3 linked regions of the Astyanax mexicanus genome follow. The protein of the gene in region 1 interacts with the protein of each later gene in a biochemical or structural test. Links are inferred from orthologs where the notes say so. Each region holds a gene or a part of one and is shown in the gene's direction. Other genes may lie near its edges.

Region 1 (11,084 bases):
TACCTGTTTACGGTTGCCATAGCAACTCTATCTCAGATCAAAGGCGGGTTCATCCACCTGATGGGCAATTAGCCACTAATTAAATCACAGTCGCGAGTCGTTAATTGACAGCAGAGCTGCTCTTTGAAGGGCATATCTACGTCATCACTGTTAATACTGCTATAGAACAGCGCGTGCCCACTACCTGCTCCATCCATCGCGAGGGGCAACCAGCCAGCCGTGAGTGTCCTCACCTGTTCTCGCGGCTCAGAGACGTGGTGGTCACGTGGCCGTACGCCACAGTGTTTGGCGTCACGGGCGTCCGTGAATCACCCGGGATGAATCACTGAAGATGATGAATGGAGTGGTATTAGCTCCTCCCCCTTTTCCTGCAAACTTCACTACAGGCCACAGGATAGGATGTCAAAGATCTGCATAATATCAAATGTCTGCGTAAGCCCCGCCCCTCGTCTCATAATTTGTTCTGACGTGATGTAACTATCTGCCTTAGCCACGCCTCTTTATATAGATACATTATTTTGATATAATGCAGCTATCTGCATTATCAACACCCCTTTAGTTGAGTACTTTATTCTGATATAATGCAGCTGTCTGTCTTAGCCACGCCCCTTTGTCTGTATTTTTTAATTCTGATATAATACAGGTAGGTATGTGCTACAGTCACGCCCCTTTCTCTGAGTACTGTATTCTGATGTAATGAGGCTATCTGTCTTAGCCACGCCTCTTTATCTAAATACTTTATGCTGATGTAATGCAGCTGTCTGTCTTAGCCACGCCCCATTATCTGTGTTTTTATTTCTGATATAATGCAGGTATGTGCTATAGTCACGCCCCTTTCTCTGAGTGCTTAAATCTGATATGATGCAGCTGTCGGGCTTAGCCACGCCTCTCACCTTGCATACTTTATTCTGATTCTGATATATCTTTATGCCTTAGCCACACCCCTTTCTCTGTGTTTTTAATTTTGATATAATGTAGGTATGTAGTATAGTCACGCCCCTTTCTCTGAGTATTGTATTGTGATGTAGTAAGGCTGTCTGTCTTAGACACTCCTGTCACCTTAAATGCTTTATTCTAATATAATGCAACTGTTAGCTTTAGCCACGCCTCTCACTTGGGGTACTTTGTTCTGACACAATGCAATTTTATACCTTAGCCACGCCCCCTTTTCTGAGTGCTTTATTCTGAGATGATGGACAATATGAGAAAATCCCAGCCTCTTTCCCCACCCACTTTATAGTGATATGGTGCTGATTTCCCTAAATCACGCCCACCATCACGCCTACCGTATTTTAATATGCTAAAACTATTTGCTTTGGCCACGCCTCCTACCCTGCACACTTTCTTCTGACATAATGCAACTGTATGTCTTAGACACGCCCTTTTCTCTGGTGCACTTATATATATATTAGGATATAAGATTGATATATTAATAGGATAGGACACTAAAAGAGTCACTTTTTTGATATAGTACTTTACTCAAGTCTAGAAAGCCTCTAGTGCTTTCTACATGTCTGAATACTTGTAGATATATAGACAGTGATAAGGTTCTGATGGTTCTGTTCGGTTCTGTGTGTTCTCTCAGCTCTCAGAGCCGGAGGAAGAGACATGGACGACTCTCCGAGTAAACACCTGCTCGGCCCGAAGAAGAAGGTGAAGATCCACCCCAACACGGTGACGGTGAAATATGCCACCCACTTCCCGCAGCCTGGAGAAGAGGGATACGATGACGCCCCGAGCTTCGAAGATTTCGGCTCCTTTGTAGAAGAGACCTCCGACCGGAAGAGGCTGACCTCTACTGGACCTCAGAGGTGTGTACACGCCACGCCCACAAACTGGGGTGGAGTTTAATTACTGTGTGGTAAACTGAAACACTGTTTCTTTGGTTCACGACAGCACAGTTTTACACCATAGCTTTTATTATTGCCAATATAGTCAGTAACTACTGCTTTTATCAGATAACTACACAGGTACAACAGTTTTTAACCGTTATAGGTTATAGGGGTGGAGCTAATTTTACATATATGATATAATTTATTGTTAACTTAATAGTTATCATAAGTTTGGATACATTAATGTATTGTTAAATTGCAAATTGGACTGCTTTTATTGTAGTTTGTATTATTGTATCACTATTGTTATTACTATTAGTAGAATTACTATTAACGTTGTTGTTACTGCTGTTACTAATAATATTATTACTATTATTGCTGTCATTATTACTGTTATTATGGTTATTGTTATTATTGTTGTTAATATAGTTATTATTGTTACTTTTATCCACAGTAAACTGGGCCGGACGTTTTTTGGCTCTGTGGACGGTCAGCCCAAACCCGGTGGGGATCAGAAGGTCAGCAGTGGGGTCGGAGGTCAGCTGCAGAGTTTCGGGGAGGCGTGTGTGTTCTCCTCGAGGCTAACGTGGGGGGCACTGTTCGTGGCGGCGTTGGCGCACGGCTGCGTGGCACTGCTGACCCGCCTGGCCGCTGACCGCTCTAGGGTTCCCTCGCTGGAGCTGCTCTTCATCCGCTCGGTCCTGCAGGTGCTGTCCGTCGCCGTGGTCTTCTACCACCAGGAGGAGCCGTTCGGGCCCAGTGGCTACCGGGTGCGGCTCTTCTTCTACGGCGTGTGTAACGTCATTTCCATTTCCTGCGCCTACACCTCCTTTGCCATCGTACCGCCGAGCAACGGCACCATCATGTGGCGTGCCACCACCACGGTGTTCAGTGCCGTGCTAGCGTTCCTGCTCACGGATGAGCGTCTGGGTGCAGTGGACATGGTCACCGTGGTCAGCAGCGTGTTCGGACTCTGCCTGGTCATGGTGCCCAACATCGTGAGCGAGGACCGGTCGCTCGGGTTCTGGAAGGAGGCGTTCGGGTACACCATGACGGTCATGGCAGGCCTGACCGCCGCTCTGTCTATGATCGTCTACAGGTCAATTAAGGAGAAGGTGAGCATGTGGACGGCTCTGTTCACTTTCGGCTGGACGGGGACGCTGTGGGGCGCCTGCACCATGTTCGTCCTGCAGGAGCCCATCATCCCTCTGGATGGGGAGACCTGGGCGTACCTCATCAGCATCTGTCTCTGCTCCACCGTGGCGTTCCTCGGGGTGTACTACGCCCTGAACCGCCTGCACCCTGCTCTGGTCAGCACCGTCCAGCACCTGGAGATTGTGGTGGCCGCTCTGCTGCAGCTGCTTGTCCTGCACATGGTGCCGTCCGTCTACGACATGGTCGGAGGCCTCGTCATCATCATAAGCGTTGTTGCGCTGGCGGCAGTGAAGCTGTTCTGGGTGGGGAAGAGTCGGAGGCAGGAGTACGAGGAGATCCTCGATTCGCCAATTAAATAATTGAGTTCAATTATTTATTTTCACTTTGTCTAAATGCCAAGTTGTAAACTAAAGACCAAAGCCCAATTAGAGCTGGATTAGATTCATACCGGGTTATTAGTGTCGGATTGTACAAACTACACACTACAGATTCATACTGGATTAATTTAATTTTCTATAGTTAAACTACACTACAGATTTATACTAAATAAATCAGTTTTCTGTTGGTTAACTGCACACTACAGATTCATACTGAATTATTTTTTTTGTCATAGGTAAACTACACACTGAAGCTTCATACTGGATAAAATCAGTTTTCCGTAGTTAAACTACACTACAGATTCATACTGGATTGAATCAGTTTTACATAGTTAAACTACACTACAGATTCATACTGGATTAAATAAGTTTTCCATAGTTAAACTACACTACAGATTTATACTGGATTAAATCTGTTTTTAACAGGTAAACTACACTCAACATATTCATACTAGATTTAAATCAGTTTACAGTTATTACTTAAACTACACACTGCTGAATCATACTAGATTAATAACAGATTACAGTTATTGTCAGAATTCGTACTGAATTAAAATTAGTTTACAAGTATTGCTGAAACTACACACTTCTGATTCATACTGGATTAAAATTGGTTTAGAATTTTACTGAAACTTCACACTGCAGATTCATATGGAATTAAAATGAGTTTTCATTTATAACTGAAAGAATAAGCACTGCAGATTCATAAAGGATCGAAATTGGTTTACAGTTAGTAGTAAAAATTCACACCAAAGATTCATACTGGATTAAAGTCAGTTTATGATTATTACTATTATTTGCATTATAACTACACACTGCAGGATTAAATGGATTAAAATCGAAAGAATAAATACTGGATTAAAATTACATTACAGTTAGTAGTATAATTGCACACAGCAGATTCATACTGGATGAAATGTCTGATTAAGGGTAATCCGATCCAGCTCTAGTAGGGTTTATGGAGGGTGTGGGGGGGTGTGGGGTGGGGTGGGGGGGTAGTCGGTGTAGTTTAGTGGTAGTTTGTGTACCATTGTGTTTATCTAGTGTTTTGTGTAATTCAATTTTAAATGAATCCTAATTACTTTATTTGATGATTGTTTATTGATTATTGATTTCAGTTGTATTAATTGTTCTGAATAGTTTTTTTGAAACTCTGTAAAAAAAGTGTTCAGATCTCAATCACCTGACCCACTGTTCCGCTGACCCGTCAGTGACCCTTGTTTACTTGTTCATGATCATTAACCACTAAGTGTCATTGAGAAATCTTAATTGTACAGAATAAACAGGTGATCTATCAGAAACTCCGCCTCCTGGTCCAGAACCCATTCAGAACTCCAGCACAGGTGGTGGCAGTGTGTGTGCAGTGGGGTGAGGGCGCCCCCTGCTGGTGGTTGTTGCTAAAGTGTATGTGTGTTTGTTATTTTAAGAATAAAACAATAATAAAATAATATTCTATATATTTGTGTTTGATTAAATTAAAGAAAATTAAATTAAATTAAAAGTTAAAGTTAAAATTAAAGTTACATCAGTTCCTGTGTGCTACATTTTCAACTGTCTCTATAAAACATTCTGAATTTTAGACAGACATTCAGAAATGTGGAGATTTCCTATTTAAAACAAAATTACAGAGTACAAAATTAGAAGAAAAAAACAGTGACCACTAAAATTAACCCTAGAGGATGCCCACTGAGTGCTGCATTGTTACTCGTTACAATTATAAAAATGTTAGGAATCATTCCAAACCCACATTTTCACTGAAGCCAGAGTAGAAGATGATCTACACTGGCACACTGGCACACGGTTTGTTAAATGTTAAATACTTTAGTACTCCCACTTAAGTGTGCAGCTTAATTCATTTTACTTTTATTTAAATCAGGGTCTCTAGTGTTTTATATATATCTGCTGACTGGTTGGTGAGTTTAAAAGTTTTATAACTGGAGTTTAAAAGCTTTTAAAATTATGTCTACAATGATAAAACCTACTTGTTCTGTGTTAAGGAAATGAGTAAAGTTTTAAGTGTAAAAAGGATTAAACATTCATAAACTTAAAGGGGCACTAAACCTCTGATTTAAAAAAGGACAAAAAATGGGCAAAGTTTGGGAGAGGCACTGGGTGATGTATGGGTTTAGAGGCTGGGCAGGAGGAGGAGCTGATTTGCTGAGCTGCACTTCTGATGGCGGTGAGACGCAGATGGTTGGACGTCAGCAGGGGGGGCGGTAATATTGATTCATTAATTTGCCTATTGTGATGTGTCTGCATACCAAAATACATGGAATCATCATCCACGCCTATAGCACAGTTGAACCTGAGGGGGCGATTCAGAAGCGAAAATGACCGTAATAAAAGCGTTGTTTAAAGGTAAGAAAATGTTTTAATTTTTTTTTAAGCAGGACTGGTATGTTTCATTTTTTTTTCAAATGAACACATTTCAACTATTAATGGAAAACAATATGGTTTAGGGTTTATTGGCTTTTTAATTGCCCCATTTAAACCTATTCGTTTTGTAGTCAGTGAGGGGGGAGCCCTCTGGTGCACTAACACACTCTAAATGCACCGCCGCTCCGACCAGCAGGGGGCGCTGCACGCGCTCACACACTCGCACCACCACACAGCGCGCGCCCCGCTGCAGATCAACTGCAGAGCAACTCCGCGCGCGCTAAAAACCTGACAACAGGAACCAGAAGTAACCAACGGTAATCGGAGTCCGGAGCGACCCGGCCGAGCTGCAGGTAAACCTGCCGGACAGGTGAGTGCGCGGGCACGCGTACACCTGTTCTAGTTACTTAGTAAATACAGCGCCCGTGCGCGTGAGTGTAGCATCCTGACACAAGAGAACGTTAAATAAACGTGAGGGTAATGTTTTGGTCGCATTAGCTAACTTAACATACATCTTTTTATGTTGACAAAGAAAAAACAAACTTAAAAACTAACTTATAACTTATAATTTAACATTAGTGTTATTAAAGTCGCTTATTGTTAAAACTCTAACATTGAATAAAAGTTTATTTAAATGTTTTAAATGGCTGGAGCTCTGAAACTACACTAACAGCAGGTCAATGTTGTTAAGAGAAAGGTGCTCCCCACAATTAACGTTAATCTAGCTAATAAACTATTATTATCATTTAAATGTCTTTTTTTTACACTGCAACTGTAAACTGCCAGCTATAAAATTAGAATAAAACGATATATACTGTACATATACAGAACCAGTATTACAAAAGTTTTGACACACCTCTTCTCAATTAATGTGTTTTCTTTTTGTTTTTTTTTGTTTTTTTTACATTGTACATTTAACAATTAAAGACTATATTAAAGCTATACTGGATAATATTCAGACTTTTTCTGTAAATAAAAAATTGTTAAACAAAACAGAATATGTTTTATACTTTAGATTCTTCTAAATAAGTTGCACATTTATCTTTGAGGACAGATCTGCACACTTTTAGTATTTTAATCTCAGTGTCTTCATGAGAAAGAGTCACTTGGAATAGCTTTCTCAGTTTCTTGAAGGAAGGAGTTCCTGGATGTGCTGAACAATAGTTTCTGCTTTTCCTTCATGCTGTGAAGCTTCAGCTCATCCCAAATCACCTCAAATCACCATCTCAGTTCATCTTAGTTCATCAGGTTTAGATCAGGGGATTAATGTGGAGGACAAATACTTTTTGTTTACTATGTAATTCCCATAAAAGGGCTCAAAAAATGGGAGGAGTAGTTTGGGAGGGGCACTGGGTGATGTATGGGTTTAGGGGCGGACAGGAGGGAGAGCTGATTACACTGTGTGTATAAACAGTGTTTTTAATAAACTATCTGTGCACTACTACAATAATAGTTGGCAACAGCAATGAATAAATAATTTTTCAGTTGTGCGCTAAATTCATATAGGGTGTGTGTGTGTGTTTCTGTGCTGGCCAGGGTTCAAAATAGTTGTTGACAAATAGTTTAATAATGGTATGTGTATGTGACACAGTGATGGCATAAAACACATTATTACCATTTATTGAACTAGAGGCACATCATAATAATTGCATAATATTGCATGGTGCACCATAGCAAGCACTGAATCACTTTTTATTTTCCTCAAAGAAGGGCAGCCACTATGGCACTCTTTAAAACCTTGAGTAGTGTGGGTTTTGTGCATTGTCAGCATCTTTATGTTTTGTTTGTGTGGGTTCTGTGTTGTGTTCTCAGCTCCAGCATGCGTGGTTTGGGGAGTAGGAGGTTTGGGGGTGTGTCTCACTCTGATCTGCAGGAGGAGGAGCCCTCCCAGAGCAGCTCCACCTCTGAGTCCACCCATGATCAGGACGCGGAGGAGGAGAACCGGTGCTTTGGAACCTTTCAGGGAACCATAGTGGGTCTGAGGTACTACACCGGAACGGTATGAGCCATCATACGTACACTGATAAAAAAAAAATATATAATAAACAAATAATAATAATAATAATAATAATAATAGTTAACATATATATTTTTTAATCATTATTACTTTGTATTGTTTCACTTCAAAGCAATACTTTAAAGTTAATTGTATTGTTATTATTTATTTTGGTTTAGCAAAGCCATGTTTATAGATACATAATCAAGTCTATTAGAGATTACTGAACATCTCTTTATTTGGACATGCAGTTAGCTCCAGTGCTAATTGTTGGCGCATTAGCTTCCATAGCCTAAAATATTTACTATATTAGCTTATTTTTAGCTACAGCGCTAACTGTGGTATGAGCTGCTATTGTTTGTAAGCTATATTATATTTATAGCTCCAGTTCTGTAGAGTAGGTGGGTATGCTTGATTCATAACTTCTGTTCTGCAGGTGAATAGAGGTGAGATGGTGGCTCTGGTGAGGCAACCGCAGAACCCGTACGATCGGAACGCGGTGATGGTGGCTAACGTGTATGGCAGTCAGGTGGGACACATAAAAAAGGAGCTGGCAGCGGCGCTGGCCTTCATAATGGACCGTAATCTGGCCCGAGTGGAAGGGTAGGACATTGTTTAGATCATTGCCATTCTGCTACACGGTACTGACCCATTTATAAGCATCTTCAGCAAGAAAGCATCCCCTTGTGGGGATTAAACACATTGCAAAATATGGGGAAAAGTATTGAAAAAAGTGTTCATTCACGGTTTCTTGTGAAATCAAGGGTTTAAAAAGAGTTTATCTTGCTTTTGTTGGAGGAACTGTCTTTACTGTCCAGAGAAGGCTTTCTATTAGATTTTAGTAAAACAGAGTATCTGTGAGTATTTGATTGCATTGACTGACAAGTGCGTCAAGTCAACCTGTTGCCTTTTTTGTTTGCCTAAATAAATAAATAAAAATAAAATAAATAAAAATAATTAACAGACAGAGAAAGTAAGAGAGAAGAGAAAGTGCTTATTCATGCTGCACATGCTTTTGTTGAGAAGTTAAGGTTCAGTTTAATAATGAGGGCATAAAGCTGTGGTTCTCAGCTCTGCTGTTGTTTTCTCAGGGTGGTTCCTTATGGAAAGACAAATTCATTCACCATGACTGTAACCCTAACATTCTGGGGTAGAGAGGAGAACCAGGAGGCGGTACACTCTCAGATGAAAAATCACGGATACAAACTCAACGCTGTGAAAGGTAAGCTCAGCCCACCTCAGCTCCTCTATTAGATAGAAATCTGGAAAACATCTGGGACAGATTTTTAACTTCCGTACCTGGATTTACCACCTGTAGGCTCTATTAATATATTTAAGCTGCACTATATGTCTAAATGTTTGTTCTAGACTTCTAATGAATGCTGCATTCAGCTATAATTAAGTTGCACCCATTTTACGCACAGATGTGCAGATGCACACACACACACAGATAAACAAACATGAGCCTATTAGCACCATGCCTTATGTCAACCTTAGGCTAACGCAGCTAGCGGTGCATAAAGCTAGGTTAGCTAACTACGGACAAAGTTCACATGAACAAACAATAAAACAATAAAAACACCGCAAACATATTCATTAGCTGAATAACTTACAAAGTATGACTCATCGTTTGCTTGCCATGGTAGAAATTATCGAACTCGTCTTGCGCTGGATTGTGTAGATTTAGCCTTCTCAACTTGGCAACCCGAGTGAGCTTCGCGTCTGGGGAAGGGTGGGTGGGGCAGACAACTGTCTGTGGTGTTTTAAAATCGGACTGCTGTAGCTATTTCACACGCTCACTCTCATTTTCTACTAAAATCTTTTTAAATACATTAATTTTTTGAAGAAGCAATGAATAAGCAAGTGATCCAATACTTTGGGGAAACTCATGGGAACTGTGTTTTATAGGGAGCTCATCGGCGGCATCCTGGGATCGCTATGGAGGGGCTGGATCATCCTCAGAGATTTGCCCTGTGATTTTAACACAGGAGGAGGTAACATGAATGGGCGGGGCTAAGCAGCTAGAATTTCTAGAATTTCCCCTTGGGAATCAATAAACTATCTATCTAGCTGTAGACTGATTAATTGATGGGGCTAAACTCATGAATGTGTAATGGAGTGCTTCCTCTTTTTAACAGCTGAAGAATGCATTTGATAAGCTGTTTGATGACTTGTTGGAGGACAGAACCCGAGAGATGGAGGCCGCAGAGGTAAACGCCTTTTTTACCTCACTGTATCTCACTCTTTACATCACTACCTCACTGTATCTCACTCTTTACATCACTACCTCACTGTATCTCACTCTACCTCACTGTATCTCACTCTTTACATCACTCTACCTCACTATATCTCACTCTTTACATCACTCTACCTCACTGTATCTCACTCTGCCTCACTCTACCATGCTCTACCTCACCATATCTCACTCTACTTCACTGTATCTCACTCCGCCTCACTCTACCATGCTCTACCTCACTGTAGCTAACTCTATTTCTCTTTACATCACTCTACCTCACTGTATCTCACTCTACCTCACTCTGCCTCACTCTACCATGCTCTACCTTCCCATATCTCACTCTACTTCACTGTATCTCACTCTGCCTCACTCTACCATGCTCTACCTTCCCATATCTCACTCTACTTCACTGTATCTCACTCTGCCTCACTCTACCATGCTCTACCTCACCATATCTCACTCTACTTCACTGTATCTCACTCCGCCTCACTCTACCATGCTCTACCTCACTGTAGCTAACTCTATTTCTCTTTACATCACTCTACCTCACTGTATCTCACTCCTCCTCACTCTGCCTCACTCTACCATGCTCTACCTTCCCATATCTCACTCTACCTCACTGTATCTCACTCTGCCTCACTCTACCATTCTCTACCTCATCATATCTCACTCTACCTCACTCTGCCTCACTCTACCATGCTCTACCTCACTGTACCTCACTCTACTTCCAGCTTAGTCATGTCATGTATTGCAGTCTGCAGTGTGAAAAGCTCCCTCTGTTGCTACATGTGGGCAATGCATTTTGAGTTATTCACAGTGCCATTGCAACTTTTTGATGTGCTTATTGTGAAAACTTATATCACAATAGCAATAAACATAAGAGAACTATCTTACAGCTTTTATCCAAATAAAGTACTAAAATGTGTTTGTGTGTGTGTGTGTGTGTGTGTGTATGTGTGTGTGTTCAGGCTGTGAGGACCCCTCTTCTCCTCCACCAAAAGCAGGCACTGTACTGGATGACGTCCCGGGAGAACAGTTCAGATCTGCCTCCGTTCTGGGAGCAGAGGAGTGGGCTGTACTTTAATGTTCTGACCAATTTCGGTGCCAGGGAG
Region 2 (11,207 bases), on another chromosome or scaffold:
CCCCGTTCCTCAGATCCTGTAGCTCTTTAGGATTATTCGGCGTTCTTTATCGCTCGAGAGCAGGGGGGTTCAACTGGTCCATATAGCTACGTTCACATTACCAGGCTGAAGTGATTTTAGCTTAATATGGCTTTTTTTTTTTTTTTTTTTTTTTTCACTTTTATATCGTTGCTGTCCAATAAAAAAACACTTTGCCAAAACAGCAACTTTACAAGAGAGAGAAAAAACTTGTAAAATTTCAATGGAAGTCAATATAAAAAGAGTTTATTTCAGGTAGAGAAATTGATTGTACTGTTAGTCACATGTTAAATTGTGCTTTATTTAATGTGGTTTAGGCTGGGATCATTTGTCAGCTGAATGCACGGACCTCTATTCTAGCAGCAGCCAATCCGGTGGAGTCTCAGTGGAACCCGAAGAAAACTACAATTGAGAATATTCAGCTCCCCCACACACTGCTCTCCAGGTAATACAGTAGTTTGTTTTGAAGATTGGATTGAGGAATTATACATGAAAAATGTCTTTTATTTTTTTTTTTTTTTTATAATATACTGCTTGCGCATTTTTTAAACTCTGCTATGGATGCACCTTGTTCTGCACATTTTAGAGGACTCCCTACTTTAATACACCTCTTGTAATTCTGAATGGGCATGATTATAATCTGATTAGTTAAATCAGTTGTGTTGGGAGCAGGACAACATCTTTGACTACATTTATATGACAAGCCTTATGGCTCAATTTGATTTGATTCTATTGACAGTAGTGGCATTGTGTATAAAATCTGATGTCTTAATCTAATATATATTTAGTACATGAATTATAAAATGTACTATTTTCTATACTTTTAACTAATTGCATGTCATTTACTTAATGCATAAAAAAAAAACTTGATAAACATTTACCAATACCTCTGTTTCTCTCGTTCAGGTTTGATCTGATCTTCCTGATGCTGGACCCTCAGGACGAGGCGTATGACCGGCGGCTCGCCCACCACCTGGTTGCGCTGTACTACCAGAGCGAGGAGCAGATAGTGGAGGAGTATCTGGACATGGCTGTTCTGAAGGACTACATCGCCTATGCTCGTACCTACATCAACCCAAGACTCAGTGAAGAAGCAAGTCAAGCACTTATTGAGGTATGAACCAAACGAGTCAGCAGTAAATAAAGTCTCCTTTCCTGTTCCTACAGCTAATTTTGAACCGTTTGTTCAGGCCCGTTACAACAAGGCAAGCAAACCAATCACTAATCAAACCAACTAGTTGCTGACAGTAGCAGCCAGCCGGGTTAGTCATTCCTGCAGCCGGCAAAATATGAACATCAGCAATCTCTTCTAAATGCCTTGAAACGTTTTTTAACGTTTTTTTAATATTCTTATTGTCCTAATGAAATAACATCTGATAAAACTTTTTGACAAAAAAAAAAACTCCATCGTACTTTTTATTGTACTTTTACAATTTATATGTAGGCACAAAAATGTGCTGCACTTTAATAGACGTTTTTGGTTTTTATACATTTTACAAGTCTTAAGTTTCTTTTTAAGAAACATTTTAAGTTACATTTGTTGCATACATACACTTTTGAAATGTATTTAAAATTTATTAAATGTGTTGTCATATCACCAAAATATTGTTATTGCAAAAACACTCAAACATCATATATTATTTTAGGGGCATATCACTCAGCCCTACTCAGGATGCACATGGTGTAGGAGAGGTCGCTTAGATGTTTTGGATGCACTACTTTTTGGAATAATTATAGGCTCAGTATAGATACCCAATATGCCATGAAAGCTTAGAATCTCTGCTTTTTAGATATTTAGCCAATTTAGCTGTATTGCCTTTTGGAAAATAAATATATTGGGTAAAAAAATACCTTTTTAGCTAAAGTTTTATTAAAAATTACATTCATAATTGGCATTTGTATGTCCATATTTTATCCAGTGTGGGCATGTTATACATCATTCAAACCGTCTGGTTCTCAGAATTACGAAATTAAATTTAATTGGAGCCAAAAGTGAGAGTTATTTAAAACATGGGAGTTAAGAGGTTAATGCCTGTAACTGTGTTTCCTGCAGGCGTACGTGGACATGAGGAAGATCGGCAGTGGAAGAGGCATGGTGTCTGCTTACCCTCGACAGCTGGAGTCCTTGATCCGTCTGGCTGAAGCCCACGCTAAAGTCCGCTTCTCAGACAAAGTGGAGACCATCGACGTGGAGGAGGCCAAGAGACTCCACAGAGAGGCCCTGAAGCAGTCCGCCACTGATCCCAGAACAGGCTTCGTGGATATTTCCATCCTCACCACAGGTATGTGGTTTTACACTGAGATACAGTGGGAAACTCATGATCTGCACAGTTAATCAGAACATGCTGAGCAATAACAGGGTAAAATAACGAGCAGAGCAGCCCCGATGCAACAAGGCAAGCAAACAAATCAATTGCCTGTAGGGCCCTCAGAAACACTTATCAGAATCCCCCTCAAGGGGGCTCCCAGTAGTTGCTGACAGTAACCAGCCAGCCAGGTTCGTTATTCCTGCAGCCGGCAAAATATGAACCTTCAGCAGTCGTGAAGCAGAGTTATCCATTAGGCAACCATCAGGAAACCGTTTCTCAGGGGGACGTATGTTAAATATTTCACTCTTCTAGTCGGTGATAAAACTCCTGCATCTGGACTGCAATTGAAAAAACAGGAGAATCAGTGAGTTTTTAGGCTTCAATTTTTCAGTTCAGTTCAGTAGCTCCTCCATTTCCACTTGCTGTTGTGTTTTATAACGTGGATCTCCATGGAAACCGTGGCGCACCCAAAGTGTAATTACAGTGCACAGCAGTGGACAAATATCTATTTTATTAAAGGCGAGGAGACGAAACTCAGAGATGTGCGTCCGGACGGGACTAAAATTACCGGAGGAGCACGGAGTTCAGACAAAAACAGTAGATAATTCAGCCTGTAATTTACTCAGAGGACGTCTGAGAAAAACACCTACATGATCGTTCTGGACAGGAATAAAATCACAGAGGATAAAAAAAAAAAAACATAGAGAAAATAACCCAGAACCCCTTGAGAAAGTAATCCCATCCAGATAGGTCTTAGCTGAGAGTTTTCTGTATTAGAATGCTGTTTCGTTAATGTTTTTGTGCATTTCTGTTTTTGTACGTAGGTATGAGCGCCACCGCAAGAAAGCGTAAAGAGGAAGTGGCGCAAGCCCTGAAGAAACTCATCCAGTCGAAGGGCAAGACTCCAGCCATGAAGTACCAGCAGCTGTTCGATGACCTACGTGGCCAATCAGAGGCTGTAAGCATATTCTGCTGTTTTTAATTTCATTATTTCTAAATATTTAACTTAGGATAACTCTAATCTTTACGTGCAGAATGTCAAAATTCTCATGATGAATGACTACAGACTTAGTAAAAAAAAACGTGTTGCACCAGTGTGGTGATGAATACTGATTGATTTCTCTCCAGGCCATCACCAAGGACATGTTTGATGAAGCACTCCGAGCGCTCGCTGATGAGGACTACCTAACAGTCACAGGAAAGACTGTGCGTCTGCTGTAAATATACCCAGAAGTTGGATTAATTAAAGATCTTTACGAACTCTATTGTCTTGAAAACTGATGTATTTTTTTTGTCTTCCTGTTGTGCATTTAATTGTTGATTTTGTATGAAGTCATGTTACTGTTTGCAATAAAAAATGTTGTATTTGCTGTTCATAGCCTTTCGCCTTGTGCGTTCCGTTCCAAAATTAGACAAAGCTAAAGAGGGTTATAGGAGAATTTCTTACTTTTTGTTTTTCTTTTCTCCTTGTATATTTATATTTTTTGTGCAATGTGCAGTTTACACTTTTTCTATAGGCTTGAGTTTAAAAAATGTAAAAAAATATCCTCTGTACCTTTTAAGAGGTTACTGTTAGCAAATGAAGCAGATAGAAGATAGTCTTTGTAAATGAGTATTAGTTTTAATTCTATCTACATTTTTAAAAAATCATTCCATTCTTAAACACTTAGAGAACAGAAGCAATGGAAAAGTTTGCTTTGTAATTGCAGAAAATAGCATTATGCTATTCACATTTTATTGTGCAAATTATAATGTTTGCTTCAGTATATAATGAAAGGTGTGAGCATAAATGTATAGAGGTGATGTGCTGCATATAGAAGGCTAGTACGGTGTTAAAAAGCCAGGAGTTTATTTATGTTGCACCTTTCAAACACAACGATCATTCAAATTGCTTTACAAATTAGAAAATAGTCAAATTTAAAATGATCTAACAAGAATAGAAATAAAAAAGCATAAATAAAACATGATTCAAACATTATTAATGCAATGTATTTAAAATATGTTTTAATTAAAAATACATTTTTTAAAAAGTTCTGTTAAGGGATAGAAAAAGATCCTCTGGTCTGAATAGAGCAAAAGGGTTTTTTGTGAAACTCAACCTTTTAATAGTATGATTTACTCAGTCTTATTAAGGTAAAGTGTTATGTGCTTTGTTTGATTATCTATATATTTACATAACTGTAAAAACTGATGTTTGCAGATAAGGGAACATACTAATACCACACAGTCTCTGTTTTCCCACATCTTTTTATGTTCCATTAAATGAATTAAAACTCATTTGATTCATAAACCAGCACAACTTATTTCACAATAATAAAGCCCTTGATAAGTCTGTTATTAAATATAATGATCTTAAGTATTAAGATCCTCACAATTTACAAATTTACACACATTCATTGGATATAAGTATTTTGTTGTGCTGAAATATTGAAAGAAAAATACTACAGTAGAGTACAGTAGTTAGGTTAAAAAAATACTCCAGTAGATACAGATACAGCATTTTGGCATTAAGCTCAGTAGTACAGAACTTTCTAGTACTATATAGTACTTGTACTATGCATACTTAAGTACAGTAGTGCATATACAGTATTTTGGTATTTAAGTAGAGTAGTACAGGTAAAGTATTTTTGCACTGAAGCTCAGGAGAATATGACTATATAGTACTTATAGTATACTATACTATATATACTTAAGTACAGTCAGGGCCGGTTCTAGAGGGAGGCTGAGGGGGGCGTTGCCTCCCCAGATTTTTTTTATTTGTTTTACTTTTTTCTTTTGAACAATCAACTTTTCTTCATATTTTAATTTAATGATCATATTTGTATTCTCGCTTATTCCTAATTCCACTTTTGAATATTATATTCTCAGCCTTTGTCTAGATACTTTTTTGTGTAATTCTAATTTAACCAAGATGGGTTATTGAAATTAATCACAATTTGAAAATCTTTATTAATTTACATAAGCAGAGTATACGCCTCAAAAAATGATATATGATAGAAAATGACATCTATTGTATCTGTATAACGTCACCTGTAAAACAGCTGGGGGGGGGGTTACCTTGTGCTGTTGCGGGACTGCGCGCGCTCCTCAGTGCAGTGGTGGTGACGTTTTGGTCAAGTGATATGACGTCACGATATCGTGCGCTTCTGGATTTGGCTGGAGAAGATGGCGGCCTCCTCAGGTTTGTCTCACAATATGGGAAACAGGCGCGGGGGTTTGGATGGGTTTGCGGCGGGGCTGCGCTGGGGTAAACGAGGGGAATGTTCTGTACGTGCCCCGGTGTGCTGGGCGCTCCCGGGGCGGCCGGGTTCCCGCTGTTCCTGCTGCTGTACCCGGGTCTCTGAGCGGTGTGGCTCCGGCTGTCTGATACAGTTATCGGAGTGAATGGGAGCGGGGCTGGGAGCTCCGCTCCGGCCGCGGTACGGTTAGCTAGCGTTAGCTGGGCTGATTTTTCGGGGTGTTTTAACCGGCGGTGTCTCTTATCTCTCTTTATCTAGTTTGTGTATGTGTTAAATAATATTCGATAAATATAAAATCAATAAAAACACGCAGGAGAATCAGAGTGCGTAGGGTTTCAGCACGCGGCCCGGACTGCGGTGCTAAACACCGCGCTAAAAACAAGCTATAGAGGCTAGCTAAAGACCTGAGGTAACTTTAGCTTAGCTTAGCCTGCTAGCTGAAATAACGCACATAGCTTAGCTAACAGCTAGCTTAGCTCTGTGTGTTGGGCTGGTAGCAGTCAACACTGTAGGCTAACTACGCTAGCTAGCTAACCACTTAACGTTAACTGAGTAACTGACTGACTGACTTTCTAAACTAACGCGGTGTTTTAGTTTTCTCGATATATTTTATTACGGTATAATGTTACAGCGCTAATGTTTTCTGGCTCTTCATTTCACCCCGCGCCTCTGCAGCCCCGACAAACCGGAGAAGCAGGTTAAACAGTGGGGCTAACTTTAGCTAGCGTTAACTCCTGACTGGGGAATTCTCGTTAGCCTGATGGCTAATCAGCTAACCTGTGAGGAAATTTGAGGGCCAGAATAGATTAATAGGATAAAAATCCGCGCAATATAAAATAGTTCCATTTTCCGGAGCAACACACGTTTTATTTTTGTTATAGCTAGGTTAGTTAAGTAAATAGAAAAACAATAACTTACCTCAATACCTGCTGCACTCAACATGCGAGTAATACAACGTATAGTTAATATATAATGTTTTTTTAAGTACAAAACATTTATAATAAATTATACTAGCGCATCTCAAACAATAAGACTATTATTGTAAAGTTAATTTATTTCTGTAATTCAGTTTAAAATGTCTCTCTTATATTGTATAGGCGTATTACATGAAGACCCCAAAATCTGTCTCAGAAAATTAGAATATTATATAAGATAAATTGGTACTTTTGGCAGTATGGGCAGTGTGCCAAGTCCTGCTGGAAAATGAAATCCGCATCTCTTTAAAAGTTGTCAGCAGAGGGAAGCATTTAGTGCTGTAAGATTTTGTGGGGAGGGGAAACAAAACTGCACTGACTTGATAATAAAACACAGTGGACCAACACCAGCTGATGACATGGCTCTCCATGTTTTGTTAAACTTGCCCTATAATTTATTAAGAATGTAATCATGATAAGAATAAAGACGTTAATTACATGTTCCATGAACTGCAGTAAAGATGCATGGTGCAAAAAAAGTTTAAGTTTCAGCATTGTTGGAACATGGTTCCAGTGTTTGACAGCGCACTAGGCATTAGTTTGCAGCTCACTCAGAAAGGCTGGGAAGGGCACTTTCCATTCAAACTGACTGTTTTAACAGATACTAAAACCAGAGCGATTGCATTCCAGACATGTTTTAAAATGAGTAATCTGATCTAAGATTTAAGCTATACCAAGCATTCACTAGAAGGTTTTAAAAGTCTTGACATATGCATAGTGAGTCTGCTATTTAATGAATCGGCTCTTTGACACTATTTTTAGTTACTAAAGAAATCTAGGATTAATTTTTTTAATGCTAAAACCAGCTACAAGGAAACAAACAGATACAAAAAAGGTGATTTATAATGTTGTGGCTGACCAGGACCAGTGTAATATATTTACAAAGCTTGTGTTATTGTTGTAGCTGATCCGTGTTTAATGCGTATAAATAAAGTATGTAATGTATTGTAATGTATCAGGGAAGTGATACTTTTTAATTGAGAATATTGTTTTGAGTTAATTGGGAGATTTAATGGAGGAAATAAACTAAAGACAGTGTATGTGCAAGAGAGAGTCTTCAGAACAGCGATGCTGTTTCGACAGTTTGGAGAAAAATGAAGCGTGGAGGAAAGTAGGGGATGGCTCCATATGTAGCTTTATCATTGTGGATAAACAACGCGACAGCTCAAACACCCACGATCAACAAACAAATGTGGGACAGAACGAGGGAAATGCGAGATCATACGATATATTCACTTTAGAACATGGTAAAAACGTGCACCTGTTTTTCAGAATGCGTACATGTTGGCAGGTCTGAATCAATTTTTAGAATTTGTGAATCGATTCAGAATCGACCATGTCTGAATCGAGATAAATCCAAGAATCAACAATTCCTCCCACCCCTAGTCATTACTCTGCAATCTGCCAGTCATCATCTGCACACAGTCATCAGCAACCAGAGGAGTCTGTTCAGTGTCCGACTTCTCCTTCACAAATGCAGAAACAACAGATTTAAAAACTCCTTTCTCCCTCAAACCATCAGACTGTACAAGGAGGGTTGACAGAGGATGGGATGGAGCAGTAGAGTGAAAATAAAATAAACCAGATTATGTGCAACAGTATTAAACAATGCAATAATTACATGCAATACCTCATCTGCTGGATTTTCTTTTAGGCTTTTAATGTTGCTCCTTTTTATATTTATTTATTTTCTCCCCTCTATTATTTGGAACCCTCCCAAAGAGCTCTATCTCTCTGTCCTGTCCATACATCTCTGTCAAGCTCCTAGTGTTTGAGGCATTACTATTGATTAGTGTGGTCCAGATGAGTTGGAGTAATTGACCTATGATTTCTGTTATTCTCCTGCAGCTTTATACAGTTAATCTCACCAGTTCAGCAGGTATTTTATTTAATTTTACAAACATGGCAAAGACTAAAATGCTCCTACTCATGAGTATGAGTATACAAAAGATTTGCACCACATGTAAGGTATTTGCAAAAACATGTGCCACACGCTTAAACACATCAGGTCTTCTCTTAAGCTTGTAGTTCTTCGCTAGTTTTGTGGATCTTGTCTGCTTTTGCAATATTTAGCTATTCATCCTGATTCAGAAACTATAGTGAATTAGTTGGTAACTGGTTTGGTTAGTACATCTTGTGGAGTCCCACAGGGTTCTACAGTAAGTAACACTAAATACAGTAAAATATTATGATATAAAAACTATAATATGTACTTAATATTTTAGTTCATACAGCAGATTATTTGCCATACAACTGTGCGGCGCTTCATGTACCACAGTTTGAGAACCATTTCTATAGGATACTGACTTATTGCATAAATTTGCAACGATTTCAGCAACATACAACTTTTCCACCAGTACAGAGGATTCACTGCCCATTATAAACATCTTTAATATTCAGTTAATTATATGGATAATTATCAGTGTTATTGCAGTGTTTGTTGCTTGTTTTTATTGTATAGGAGTTAAAGTTCCACGCAATTTTCGTTTGTTGGAGGAGCTGGAAGAGGGACAGAAGGGTGTTGGTGATGGCACAGTAAGCTGGGGTCTGGAAGATGATGAGGACATGACTTTAACACGGTGGACAGGAATGATCATTGGACCTGCGCGAGTAAGACTTGACTTTGTAAACTTGAGAAAATTGTCCATTTGAGTTTTTATTAATCAATGCACTAAAGTTATTTGCTTTAATTCTGTGATTATGGACCAGAAAAACACCATTAGCAATGTTTTGCTATGTTAAGATTATCACAATCTCTATTGCACAATTATCAATGGTTTTCCATGCTTTAAATTGTTTTCATGTTTGTTTTTCAGACTAATTATGAAAACAGGATATACAGCCTGAAAGTGGAGTGTGGACCTAAATATCCTGAATTACCACCAACTGTTAGATTTGTAACAAAAATTAGCATGAATGGAATAAATAATTCCAATGGGATGGTGAGTACTCTTCAGATTATATTTACAGCTCTGGAAAAAAATGAGAACACTTAATTATGAATTTCTTTCATTTTACCCAATTGAAAACCTATAATTAAGAGAAAGATGGATGATCACAAGCCATCAAACCACCAAACTGAACTGCTTGAATATTTGCAAAAAGATGCAGAGCTTTCAGACCTCAAATAATGCAAAGAAAACAAGTTAATATTCATGAAGTTTTAAGAGTCAGAAATCAATATTTGGGGGAATAATCCTGGTTTTTAATCACAGTTTTTTTTATGCATCTTGGCATCATGTTCTCCTCCACCAGTCTTACACACTGCTTTTGGATAACTCTTGGATAACGTTTTGAATTTGATGAATCAAAGAAACTCGTCATTTTTAAGTGAGCTATAGATGTGAATAACTGCAATGTGTGTAATTAATGTGGTTTACACATAATTTACCAAGAGTTTTCCCAAAGATCATTCTCTGTATTAATTCAGTTATTATGAATGAAGTTTTACCCATTTAAAAAATACGTTCAGTGCAAACTAAAATGTAACTGCAGCTTTGGAGAGAGAGAGAGAGCACAGAAACTCTTCCCACCTTCACCATAAATAATTCATAAAGGTTTTTTGAGTCCAGAAAATCTTCCTCCAGGGACTGTTGTGGCAGACTTCTAGAAGGCATGCTTGCAAGTTTGCAACAGATGTAGTGATTTCTACATTCTTGGTTTAATCAATAGCTTAATAATAAAAAAAAACTGGATTTTGCATTACTTTTGCATTCAAAGGCTTTTAGTGTTTTTTTTTTTTTTTTGTTGACAGAATGCAACGTGTCTCAATTTCTCAATTTATTCTTTTCTCCTTCTGTTTCAGGTGGATGCACGTAGCATACCAATTCTAACAAAATGGCAAAATTCTTATAGCATTAAAGTCGTTCTTCAAGAGCTAAGGCGTCTAATGATGTCCAAAGAGAATATGAAGCTTCCTCAACCACCAGAAGGACAGACGTACAGCAATTAATTGTAAATGATTGTTTTTGACCCTCTGTCTTAAACCTTACTCTCCTAGAAATGTCTCAATGTAAGTCAGCAGAGAACAAAGATTAAAAAAAGGAAAAACAAAAAAAGATCGACTCACTCCACACATGAACAGACAGCACTGCAGGGGCGGGATTGGACATTTCTAATAGTTTAGCTTCTCTGGAAAAAAAAAAAAACGAAACGCCTATAATGTGAGGCTGTGTGTGAAATTCTGTTTTAAAATTGAGTGCACAAATCCGTTTCCTCCACTTTGACCATCTCAACTTTTTGTTCTGAACCATGTTTTTTTTTTCTTGTAGGCAAAAACGGCATGGCAGAAATGCAAGATCTGTTTCTTTTACGTTAAAATGACTGGACACCAAAACTTAAGATAAAAAATTAAGATGCATATATGACAGCATGCTGATAAAATCCTATAAAATAGTTTGGAGGAATTAAAAAAGAGAAACCAGCTGTTTAATAAGTTGTTAGTTAGCTGAATTTATTGGGTGTGTTGGAAACCCTCACTGACGATTATTCTGAGGTTATTAAAGTGTGCCTGTAGTCTTACCTGTAGTTTCACAAAGGGGAGGGACTGGCTTTTTTCTTTTGGGTTTTTTTGTTTGTTTAATTATTATTATTATTATTTTTATATCTGTATTTGACACAATAGCAGTTTGTTTCAGTGCGGTATCTTACGTGTAACAGATGCTCTA
Region 3 (11,315 bases), on another chromosome or scaffold:
CTGTTTTAATGAAATGAGAACATTTCAGTATAAACTTTATCAAACATTTTGCACAATATACTACATCTACTGGTGAGCGATTTGGCCCTAAAATAACATCACCATATTTTATGGTATTTTTGCGATAATGATATTCTTGGCAAAATGACAAAACAATAAAAAATAAAAATATAATTTAAGAATACACTACTGCAGCAAAATGAAAATAAAATGTATTATTGCAAAAATAACGCACTCCAAATATCTCCAAATATCTAGGACTAAAGTAAAATAAATGATACTGCACAGAAATAATCTAATAATGGGAACTGGGAACCGTGTGAATTTTTCTTTTGCTAAAAACAGCAAAAAATTAGTACCCTGGTGTGATAATTAGGGGTGGATGATATGGCATGATCAAAAAGTTTCAAAAAGTTTGGCGTACGATATGATATGGCACACCCCTAGCGTCGTCACATCTGGCTCTGAACAGTAACATTATCGTACGTCTGTCTGCACTGTTTAACAGAGCACTTGTCTTCCACATCTGCATTCAGATGGCGGACGAGTTTTAAAAAAAGCAGAATAAAATAATAACGGCTACTGAGCTTCAATCTGGAGGAGAAAAAAGGTATCATGTTCCTCACTCAGTCAAACATTTTGGTATATTAACATTAAACTACTTATCAACACACTCTGCTGACTGTCCTCACTGATAATAATCTGAATTAATGCTAAATAAATTAATGCTGATCTTGAGTTTAGTGTTTTTAATAACGGTTTTATTTTTTATTTAATTTTAAACTGAACCTGAGCAAACACTGGAAGCAGAGCTTTTCATCTGGAGATGAACAGTTTAATCCTGATGGAACATAAACTCTGGTGAGAGTTTAATTTAATTATCGGTTTATGTAGAAATGGGTAGTAGCCTCAGAGGTGTATTAGAACCGATTAACCCTGCTATTAATGCTTTAAAAGGTCTATTGCTTCATATAAACCCATATATTTTGAAAGCACTTTCTATTTGTGAGCACATTCTAGTATATAATAAACCTGGAACATATTTTTAAGTGGAAGTATTTTCAATTTTCTCTGGTAGTTCACTGTACTGCAACAAAACTGATAAAAGAGGCAGTGGTGTAAATTCTTTAAAATATCCACTATAAGTTTAGTCTTTGTCCTCTCCATAAGGCAGTGGTTGGGTTTCACTTAAAACTGTTGGTTATGATTTCCAGTACTGTCTGTTTCCATAAACTTTTAAAAGACAGACGCTCTGTCTTTATTTGTATGCATATTTAATGCTGAGTATAAATAAGCCTTAAAGGGCAAGCAGTACACAGGCTTTTTACAACCTGACAGATACAGAAACTTACTAAAACTCACTAAAAATAAAAGAAGAAACATGTGAACTAATGTAAAAGAGTAACATTTCTGGATTTTCACCTTAATAAAGTTATGATTTTTATTTCCTATTTATTTCTGCTATTTTAAAGTGAAATGCTATGGCAAAATTATTTTCAGTAACTTACCCATTTAGTTGAATGGAGAAGAAGCTGAAACACAGTCCAGTAGAATGTCTTTGTTGTCTATATCTGCAGCTGAAAGAAAAATGTAGTTACATAATGGCACAGACACCACGACTGCACACTCAACAAAGGATTATTCAAGTGTTCAGAAAAAAAGAACCATTTAAAAATTGTGCCCATTTTTCATAACTCGGATCAATAGCAGTACTTAGGTCAGCGCAACTTCCCTCCACAAAAAAAGTGCGGCTCTGGATTTATGAATAAGGCTGATGAATATGCAAATTGATTTAATTACATTCTTCATAAGCTTTATGGACACTTCTTTATTCGTGGGCACCGTGGGAGCTGCTGCATGAAGGAGATATAGTGACAAAGCTTTGCAGATTTAATGCAGCTTTGCTTTGAGACGAAGGTTATCCAGCGGTCCGTTTTTGACTGATCACCTTGTCCGTATTAAAATGCATCCTGCCTTGTTCAGTGGCTAAAGGCTATTAAAATAAACACTCGACTGGAGGTCTGTTCCACTGACTGATTATATGTACACAGAGTGATCTGTAGTCAGGTCCACTCATTCAAATGCACAGCTGTCAGCTGACTGCAGTCTCACCGGGAAAACAAAATGAACAGAACTGATTTCTTTATGTGATATTTAGCCCGAATCTCACCTCCTGTAAATGTGCACAGAAGCACAGATATATAAATATATATTTGTTTCTTAGATCAGCACATGCACGGAGCAGAGTATGTTCGTTCAAAGGCAGGCAGGGATTTTTAAATCAATTTCACGGATGTTTAAGAAAGAACGCCGCGCGTTCTGCCTTGTTGGCGGTGTGGGAATTGGGGAATGTGAGACTGAATCGTATTCACTGAGCTGTGTTTTAATCACCGAAGCTGTTTAGCCCACATAATCCTTCCAATAGCAGAGACAGTCTTTTTAACTGCTTAAATAACCATATCAATGCAGGACTACTGAAAAAAAAGATCATTATGAGAGACTTATAGAGTTGTGAATGGAAAATTCTATTTCCACATTCATAATGAATACAGCAACTGTCCCATTCATCCCGCAAGTAAAAGAGCAAAACAAAAATTGAGCCACTGCTTGCTGGGGTCCATGCAGCAAATATGGTACATAAACACTTAAAAGTTCACTTTTAAAGTACACTTTATTTCAGGTGAGGCAATGGTTCAATATAGAAGCTAAAATGGTTCTTTAGCTGGTTAAATGGTTCTTCATAAATATGATGAAAACCTTTAGTAGATTAATTATAAATAATATCCTATACACTTTCTATTAAATAGACCACAGAATACACTTAAGATTTTTTTTTATTTGATTTAGTAAAGGTAAGCGATGCTCAGATATGATTTTACAAACCTTTTTACAACCCCATTATTGTGTCTTAGAATGAAACAGTGATTTGCTTTGTGTATTGTTTCCTATTGTTAATGGTGGAATGAAGGGGGGTTTAAAAAAATCACATTCTGAATCTGAACATTTAAGAGTCATTTGAGATCACTGGTTCATTAGTGTAAATTCACAGTAGCATCTTAAATAATCTTAAATAATTTTGGAATTAAAAGGATTCTGTGATGTTCATATAAAATTCATATAAAAAAATAATAATAGGCCATCGAAATCTGAGGCTGGACATCTGAGGCAGTGCCAAATATGGGCATTAGCAGCATGGCACTGGCTACAAAATAATGATACAACTTCAGTGGTCTATGGGTATATAAACACAAAACTAGTTTTTGATTATTCTTATTGCCTGTTTAACATTACTCCAATAGATTACAGCAACCATGTAACATTGCATTACCTAGCATAGCATAGCATACTGTACACAGTCTTCCATTCTAGGGCACCTTTAAACACCAAAACAGCTCCACTAGTGTCACAACTGAAAAAAAAGACCCTTTCAGTACAATACAGATACTCTTTTGCTTGGGAAAATAGGACTACCAAGAAACTGGATGTCTCCACTTGTTCAGAACAAAACAAATCGATGATCATGACAATAAAATTGCCTTCTTTCTGTATTACACTTCCTGTTTATTTAAACTGTATCTAAAAGCTCTGCTTCTCTTTGAGTGTGTTGACAAGTCTTTGCACGAGTTCCTGGTCTGTTATTATCTTGGTTGGCTCACCCTCCTCTCTTTTATCCATGCGTTACATGCAAAATCAGTATCTATTGTTTAACGGATCATTTCTCTTCAATGCCTCGGTTGATTTCTTCCACTCAAAGTCTGTCTAAAACCCCCTTTTTTCTCCAAACAATTTAAAGTCCAGCCCATTTAATTGGAATCACTATTCAAGCGATGTGTCCTGTGTGTTGCACAGTGTACAATGTATACTAATATTTACCAGCATAGAGAGTGTTACAGTGCTTTTAAAGAATAGCTATTATTAAAAGTTTGCCTGCAAGGTCTGTTTGTACAGACAGATATCTAGGCAATCTTAAGAAATCCCTCTGAATCAGTTCAATTCAAGCAGAAGTACAAGTATACAGCAGCCAAGGTCCAGTCTCTGATGTAATGAGTCAAGTAGAGGTTTATAGGCCACCCAAATAATTATTATATCATCATATTAATGCTAGAATAAGTTATAAAACAGTGCCATTATGCTTTAATAATGCTGCAGTTCAGACCTGAAGGCACACAACCTCAATGTCAAACTTTCTTTGGACAATCAAACCAACTTGTGTTGGTGTGAAGGGGACAAATAAACTCATTAACAAATATCACATTTTTACCAGTATAGTGAATGTTTGGTTTTCCATGCTAGTGGTGCAAATGACAGTATTTTAGTAGTTTTTAGAACAGCTGAGAGGATACACTCAAATTTCTGCATAAAAAAAAATAACATTTATTAACAAATAGTATTAAATACTTTGTTACCTAACTTGCATTGGAAATTTGGTTATCTACACTTTACTAGAGTAATTATTTTCATTTCAGACACCTTGATAAGTAAGTTATTATTTTATACATACATACATACATCAGTGGCGTGCAGTGAATATAGTGGGTACCCCTTCTGCAACCACTCCCCATACCCTCCACCCCGCCGCCGGCCGACCGACACATAGATAAATATTACAATAACTTCATATTCTCTCTCTTGGCTTAGCTATATTAACTTAATACATATCATCAGCCCACAAATACAGCTAGAATTGACAAAAGTGTACAACAGACCCAACAATAAATGCTTAATTTGCCTACAAGTACAACCGTTCAACAAAGATCACTCATTTGTATGTCTACAGTACGCCAGGGCAGCCAAAACATTAGGTACACACAAAAACTCACCAGTCTGGCCTATTATTGTGAATTAGTTTCACATTGAAGGGCAACCAAGGCTTTTTAATATGATGTGACACAATATCTGTCTCTTTGCAGCCGCAATTCCATGATAGTTCGCTAAGCCATTTTAAAAAGCTTTGATTGGTTAGAACAGCTGTCAGTCCTGTAGCAACTAAAAAAAAACAGACTAATTATTTGAATTAGTTGCTGCTTTTTTATTTTAGTTAATTTATAAAATAAATTCTTACACTTACAATAGCTAAGATATATATTTCCTGATTAAAAATGATGTAAAACAGATTATAAGCACAACTACAACATACCTGCACATACACACAGACAATCCCTTTGGTGATTATTATGCTTAGGAAACTGCATATGCTTCTCTAAGAGTAAAAAACACAAGAAAACATGGGACATTATTGATACATTTTCAGGCTCACACTACAACCTGAAGATTACAATTGGCGCCAAAACTGCTGCAGCCCAACGCTGGAAACCGAACCGGGCCAGAAATAATTCTATACGCACCAATATCCGCTAAAAATACACAGAGGGGTGACTAAAACTGATATGAAAACAATTATTTCAATTAGCTTGTCAAAAAAGTACATTAATCCTTTTACAACGCTGCTTATTCAGGAAGCTTCACTGCTCTGCTTACCTCCCGCATTTTACGCACCTATACACCACTGGAGCTACGAGTGCTGCAGAGGGACAAATACAAAAGTAAGTGCGGTTGCATTGTTGCATTAAACATACAAAACTACGAAATACATTTTTAAAGCCCATTTATGAACCTTCAACACAACAGTTCTATTTGTTTTGTCCGATTTTAAGCTATTTTTAACTGTAAGAATTTATTACGCAAAGAATATTATTTTATATAATGATTGTCACGTTTCTGTAGTCTTTTTAAATCCTACTAAAATAATACAAAAAAAAAGAAAAAAAAAAGTGGTGGGATTCAAATCAAATTGAAAAGCTTCAAAGTACAAATCAATCACTGCTAGGCTGTATATGTTTATATATGTATGCTTTATGCATTTATTGTCTAGCTAAAATTCCTTTACACTAGAGCCAGTGCAGCAGAATTGGCCCATATCAGACTCACTGCCCGAACCGACTCTAATGAATCAAAGTTGAACCCGACGTATGGTTAAATGAATCGGTTCGCTGAACTGAATCAATGCGAGAGCCGAGTTTGAATCTTCTGCCTCAAAGCATGAATGGAAGTGACGTCGGAGTAGGATGTGCCGGTAAAAGTGCGCGCGGGTTTTTTCTCTGGCCGTGCAGCTCAGCTGTTAGCAGCAGGACTGTGTTTACCTTCAGGAAAGAGCTCAGAAAAACCGACTGATTCATTTTCGCTCGGTTAATCATGTCTAACTCAAATGAGGCGGATTTACCGCCGAACCTGGCGTGCCTGAAAGTAAGTTCTGCTAATAAACGCTTTGATAAGTCACTTATTTTGGCTGTGAAGCCCGCATTAGGTTAGCTGGCTAACGTTAGCTAAGTTAAACTGACAGTGGGATTGTCAGTAAGTTTAGCTACATATAGTGCTGAATTCAGGCTGTGTGATCTGTGTGACCATAGCTGAATTAACTATAAAGACCAGTGGCCAGTGGGATTTATACTTTTGCCAGTATTGAAGACTAGTTAGCTAGCTAGTAAGCTGGGGGTTTATCTGGTTAGCTAGCTAGGTTAGTTGGGTCGGATCTTACGCTGCCCTTTGTTAGCTCCTGTGTGTATCGTTTGTTTATCGTAAGGTTAGCGTTACCTGTCACTTGCCTGATGCTCTGAAGAGACATTTGGCATTAACTTAGCTGCTAATTAGTTAGTTAGCTAGGTTAGCTAATTACGTAGGCTTACTGACACTGCGTCTCGCTAAAGACTCACTAAATCAAAAAACGTTTAAAAATCTACTCTTATTATTTGGCTTTTGAGTGTGATCACGAATAAGGTGGCTTTAGTATTCTGTTTGGATGTGTTGTATTTCCTCTATTAGCATAATGCAGAAAAATGATAAATCCTGCAATTTACATATGGGGTTACACACACGCATACATACACTCTCCCCTATACTCTACTTTTTTCACTAACCCACTATTACCTACGACACTAGTACGGTAACCTCCTTCACTTAACAACAAGGTTGATGTGGTCATTTATGTGTTTATGATCCAATCAGTAGGGGTGGGCGATATGGCTCTAAAATAATATCACAATATTTCATGGTATTTTCACAATATCGATACATTTGGCGATATGACAAAACACTGAATTAGAAAAATTATTTAGAATTTTATTTTTGCATGCAATATGATATGGCTAACTGAGAAAAAGAAAAAAGAATTTTATCAGATTTGTAACAGAAGTCAATGATGCAGAATGTCATGATACTAGTGATGCACTCCTAATATCTCCATATATCCAGGATTAAAGTAAGATAAATGATACTGAAAAGATATAATCTGTCTCTAGTAGATATATAATGGGAAATGAGAACAGTGTGAATTTTTCGTTTGCTAAAAACTACAAAAAAAGTAGTTCTCTGATGTGATAATTAGGGGTGGGTGATATGGCGCGATATTTCAGGGGATAATATCGTTCACGGTATTCAAAATTTTTGGCGCAATTATCACGCACGCTACGATATGGCACACCCCTACCAATCAGCAACAATTATTCCAACCCTGAAGGCCAGACCCCTAACAGGTTGCTGAGGCTATTTATGTTTAGATCAGCAACATTTAACCCAAACCTGAAGAACAGACACCAAACAGCTAGTTTGCTGTGGTCATTTTTGAGTTTATGATCCAATCAGCAACATTTAAACCAAACCTGAAGACAAGACACCGAACAACTAGCTTGATGTGGCTGTTTAGGCTTTGATTGGCAACGTTTTACTCAAATACGAAGATCTGACACGTAACAGCTAGGTTACTGTGGCTGTTTATGATTCGATCAGCAACATTTAATCCAAACCTGAAGATCAGACACCGAACTGCTAACTTAGGTTACTGTGGCTGTTTATGATCCGATCAGCAACATTTAATCCAAACCTGAAGATCAGACACCGAACAGCTAGATTGCTGTGGCCGTTTATGATCAGATCAGCAACATTTAACCCAAACCTGAAGACCGGACACCTAACCGTTAGTTTGCTGTTGCCGTTTACAATCAGATCAGCAACATTTAATCCAAACCTGAAGTCCAGACACCGAACAGCTAGGTTGCTGTGGCTGATTATTTGATCAGCAACATATGACACAAACATGAAATACCTAACCATCCCATCACAAATCACAAAAACACTCATCATCCACTATGCCACAAGCCCTTTATAGGGGTCATCAAGTAGGCACCTCTCTTTATCAGCATTGAGTTTTGGCATCCCAGACTCGCTCCACTCCAAGCTCGCTACAAATAGGACATAACGAGATTTTAAACACAACCTTTACTATTTTGTTTGGACGTGTTGTATTTCATTAGATTTTAATTTTTTATTTTTGGTTTAAATTGCTTTATTGTAAGGCACTATGTGGCTCTGTCTTATAAAAGTGCTTTATAAATAAATTATATTTACCTAGCTCAATGACTTACAGTGATTATATGTAAGCTACCTAGCGTTAACTCGTTTTCATTATTTGCTTTGACAGCCTATAGACACCCTTCTTCGATGTCCCATTTGCTTTGACTTCTTGAACATATCCATGATGTCGCAGTGTTCACATAACTGTAAGTATTTTTTGTTGTTTTTGGTAATATGTATGTTGTATTAAGAGAAGTAACAGTTAACTATGTTTGGAAAAAAAAAAAAACTTTTTATTACGGTACCTAATAAGCTCTTCAGCATTGTCACTGTCATGTGTGCTTTTGCATTCATTCGCCTCATATTATCTTATTGTCACAAAATATGTAGCTAATTAACATCAAAACACATGAGTAAATAATGGATGTTTGTGTTGGGTCTCTTTGCAGTTTGTTCGCTGTGTATACGGAAGTTTTTATCTTACAAATTATTGTGTCCAGTCTGCAACACAGTAAGTCTAACGTTTATTGTGCGTTTTACATCATTGGCTAATGCACGTGTTGTTTGGTAATACACTCATCACTAACTTTAAATATAATGGCAATATTGAACTGTAAGATTTTTTTTTTTAAGTGTGCACTAAAGCTCTACAGGAACACACATGGGATTTTTTTTTGTATACAGAAAGTGTTAAACACACCAGAATATGTTTTAAAATGTAGATTCTTCTAAGTACCACATTTAGCTTTGAGGACAGATTTGCTTACATGAGGGGGGGTCACCTGGAATAGTTTTCTCAGCCTCTTGAAGGAGTTTCTAAAGGTGCTGAACAAAAGTTGCTGCTTTCCTTTACGCTGTGACGCTCCACCCAATCCCAAATCACCCAGGTTCAGGTCAGGGGATTGGGGAGGACAAACACTTATGTTTCCTACATAATTCCATTTGTTTCCCTTAATTGACCTCATTGAAGCTGGCCCCCATATCATCAGAAACAAATTATTTTTTTTCCCATTTGTGCTGGTTTGTGCAGCAAAAATTAGCGTTTGTACTGTAATTAGGTAAAATTATTTAGCACCTGGTTCCGGACCATCTGAACAAATTTCCTCTCTGCTGATGATGATTGTTTGGATCATTTTTTGCTATACTTTTTCATGTAGATAAAATGATAACTAACAGAAATTTAATTGACAATTGAATTTGTGTTTAATTGTGTATGTATGTTTTTTTTATTCTGATTATTTTAAAGATGTATATTGTGCATTAGTTCAGAAATCCTAATATTGTATGACATTCATGTTGATAATGAGTGTATGTAAACTTCTGACCAAACTATATATTGTAAAATATGGATTTTATAATGATGCAATGACATCTACTCTCATTTCAGCCAATGACAGAGCAAGATCTGAGGAATAATCGGATTTTGGATGAAGTTGTCCAAAGTTTTCTGTCTGCAAGGTAACTATGATATTTGTAATAGAAAGAAACAGTAGATATGTAACTTTAGTTGTCATTATGTGAAGAAGTAAAGTCTCAAAAAAGTGTCAGTTCTTGCTTTATAATTTAAATGTGACTATATTAAAAATCTGTGATAAAGTCAGTTGTAAAGTAGTTATTGTATTTAATTAACAATTAAACAATTTAAAATGCTTTTCTTTGCTATTTGGGATATCTTTGTTAGTTTTAATAAATGACTCAGCAATATGTAGTTGAGTGGTTTACTGTAGAGCAGAGGTTACGGAACCATATCCAGAAAGGTCCCTTTTCGTGTCATTCTTTTTAGTAGCCTCGAGATGTTTCAGTGGAGACAGGCTGTTATAAGCAAGCATGATAGATTGATCTGCCAATAAATCCAAAAGGAGACAAAGGTTGTAAAACAAAGGTTATTCTGAGTTTGTGCCGATTGACATAAGCCTTTCAGGAGTCAAAGCAATTTATAGGATCATAGTTTAAATGAAATATTTTATTGAATCCTTTCCTTTTATTTGCTCGATCATGAGTGGCTTAACATTTTCTTCCAGTTGACCTAATATTTTTGTCTGCCATAGAATTGGGAATTTCCTTGTATAAAACACGGGGATTTGGTTTTCATTAAGTGCATCTGTTTCAGTCGTTTTCTTCACCTGCTTCAAGTGTGGTCACAAAGCTTTTAGACATGCTTCATTTCCAGCTTTGCAGAGTCTTACACTGAGACTAAAATTAAGCTCTGTCACAAACCTGTGGATTCACCTTTGTAATAAGAGGACTGTATCATAGATGTCTGGTTATGAAAGGTAATCTAGAAAGCAGAGTCTGCTGAGTAAAAATACCCAGAGTTCTTGGAAAAGGCTATAAAAGGTCCAGATTGTGTGTGATTGGAGAGATCAGTAGCTTTTAATCCACAGCATCATTAGTTTTTGAGTCAGTGTCACTGGCGGTCATCAATCTTCTCAGTGTATTGTCTGGTGGCTGAGGGCATAATTTAGTGGATAGTGGAATAAGAGGAGATGGCCATCGGGCGGCAGAGAGAGGGGGCTTATATGTCTGTGTTGCTCTGAGTTGCTTAATTTCCTGTTGTCTCACATTGGTGATGTGAAAGGCAAAGTGCTGCAGCATCAATAAGGGAGTTTATTTTTACAGGCTGTGATTGGATGTAATGTGTTTGTTTTTCTTTAAATAGGTTACAACATTAAATTAGTTAACTTTATTTTTTTTAAGACTGAGTTCAAAGGAAATCTGTAACTTAAATCTGTGATAAATTATCAGTATTGGATCAGTATTGGCTGATTGTCAGCCAAAAGATGTGATTGGAAGATATTTCTGTTTATTTATTCGATCATAAGAGCCAATTGGATTTTATTTGAAAGTTAAACTGATTCATTTGTAGAATGTGACTTTTAACCACTAACTGGACACCTCTCTATAAAGTGCATGTTTCACATATAGTAAGTAGCTATTAGCACAGCAATGCAGCAGGGCTAATAAATCAA

What was found.
Region 2: the proteins of hltf (region 1) and ube2v2 form a complex in vitro, tested with the Homo sapiens proteins (2 studies listed by BioGRID). The link is inferred for Astyanax mexicanus from reciprocal best matches to the Homo sapiens genes HLTF and UBE2V2.
Region 3: the proteins of hltf (region 1) and rad18 form a complex in vitro, tested with the Homo sapiens proteins (2 studies listed by BioGRID). The link is inferred for Astyanax mexicanus from reciprocal best matches to the Homo sapiens genes HLTF and RAD18.

The regions. Positions count from the first base shown.
Region 1 is NC_064425.1:42,843,423-42,854,506, reverse strand, and holds the start of hltf (helicase-like transcription factor), read left to right. Parts: upstream 1-5,978; 5' UTR 5,979-6,110; intron 6,111-7,552; 5' UTR 7,553-7,559; coding exon 7,560-7,739; intron 7,740-8,172; coding exon 8,173-8,339; intron 8,340-8,827; coding exon 8,828-8,958; intron 8,959-9,644; coding exon 9,645-9,730; intron 9,731-9,874; coding exon 9,875-9,946; intron 9,947-10,940; coding exon 10,941-11,084. Other genes in the region: slc35g2a (solute carrier family 35 member G2a), read left to right, coding at 1,609-1,811, 2,287-3,346. UniProt on the Homo sapiens protein: Has both helicase and E3 ubiquitin ligase activities. Possesses intrinsic ATP-dependent nucleosome-remodeling activity; This activity may be required for transcriptional activation or repression of specific target promoters.
Region 2 is NC_064413.1:396,415-407,621, reverse strand, and holds the start of ube2v2 (ubiquitin-conjugating enzyme E2 variant 2), read left to right. Parts: upstream 1-5,360; 5' UTR 5,361-5,492; coding exon 5,493-5,508; intron 5,509-9,001; coding exon 9,002-9,150; intron 9,151-9,356; coding exon 9,357-9,482; intron 9,483-10,345; coding exon 10,346-10,492; 3' UTR 10,493-11,207. Other genes in the region: DNA replication licensing factor MCM4, read left to right, coding at 336-463, 925-1,132, 2,072-2,300, 3,152-3,285, 3,456-3,548. UniProt on the Homo sapiens protein: Has no ubiquitin ligase activity on its own. The UBE2V2/UBE2N heterodimer catalyzes the synthesis of non-canonical poly-ubiquitin chains that are linked through 'Lys-63'. This type of poly-ubiquitination does not lead to protein degradation by the proteasome.
Region 3 is NC_064412.1:15,606,927-15,618,241, reverse strand, and holds the start of rad18 (E3 ubiquitin-protein ligase RAD18), read left to right. Parts: upstream 1-6,062; 5' UTR 6,063-6,192; coding exon 6,193-6,243; intron 6,244-8,473; coding exon 8,474-8,552; intron 8,553-8,795; coding exon 8,796-8,857; intron 8,858-9,733; coding exon 9,734-9,804; intron 9,805-11,315. UniProt on the Homo sapiens protein: E3 ubiquitin-protein ligase involved in postreplication repair of UV-damaged DNA. Postreplication repair functions in gap-filling of a daughter strand on replication of damaged DNA.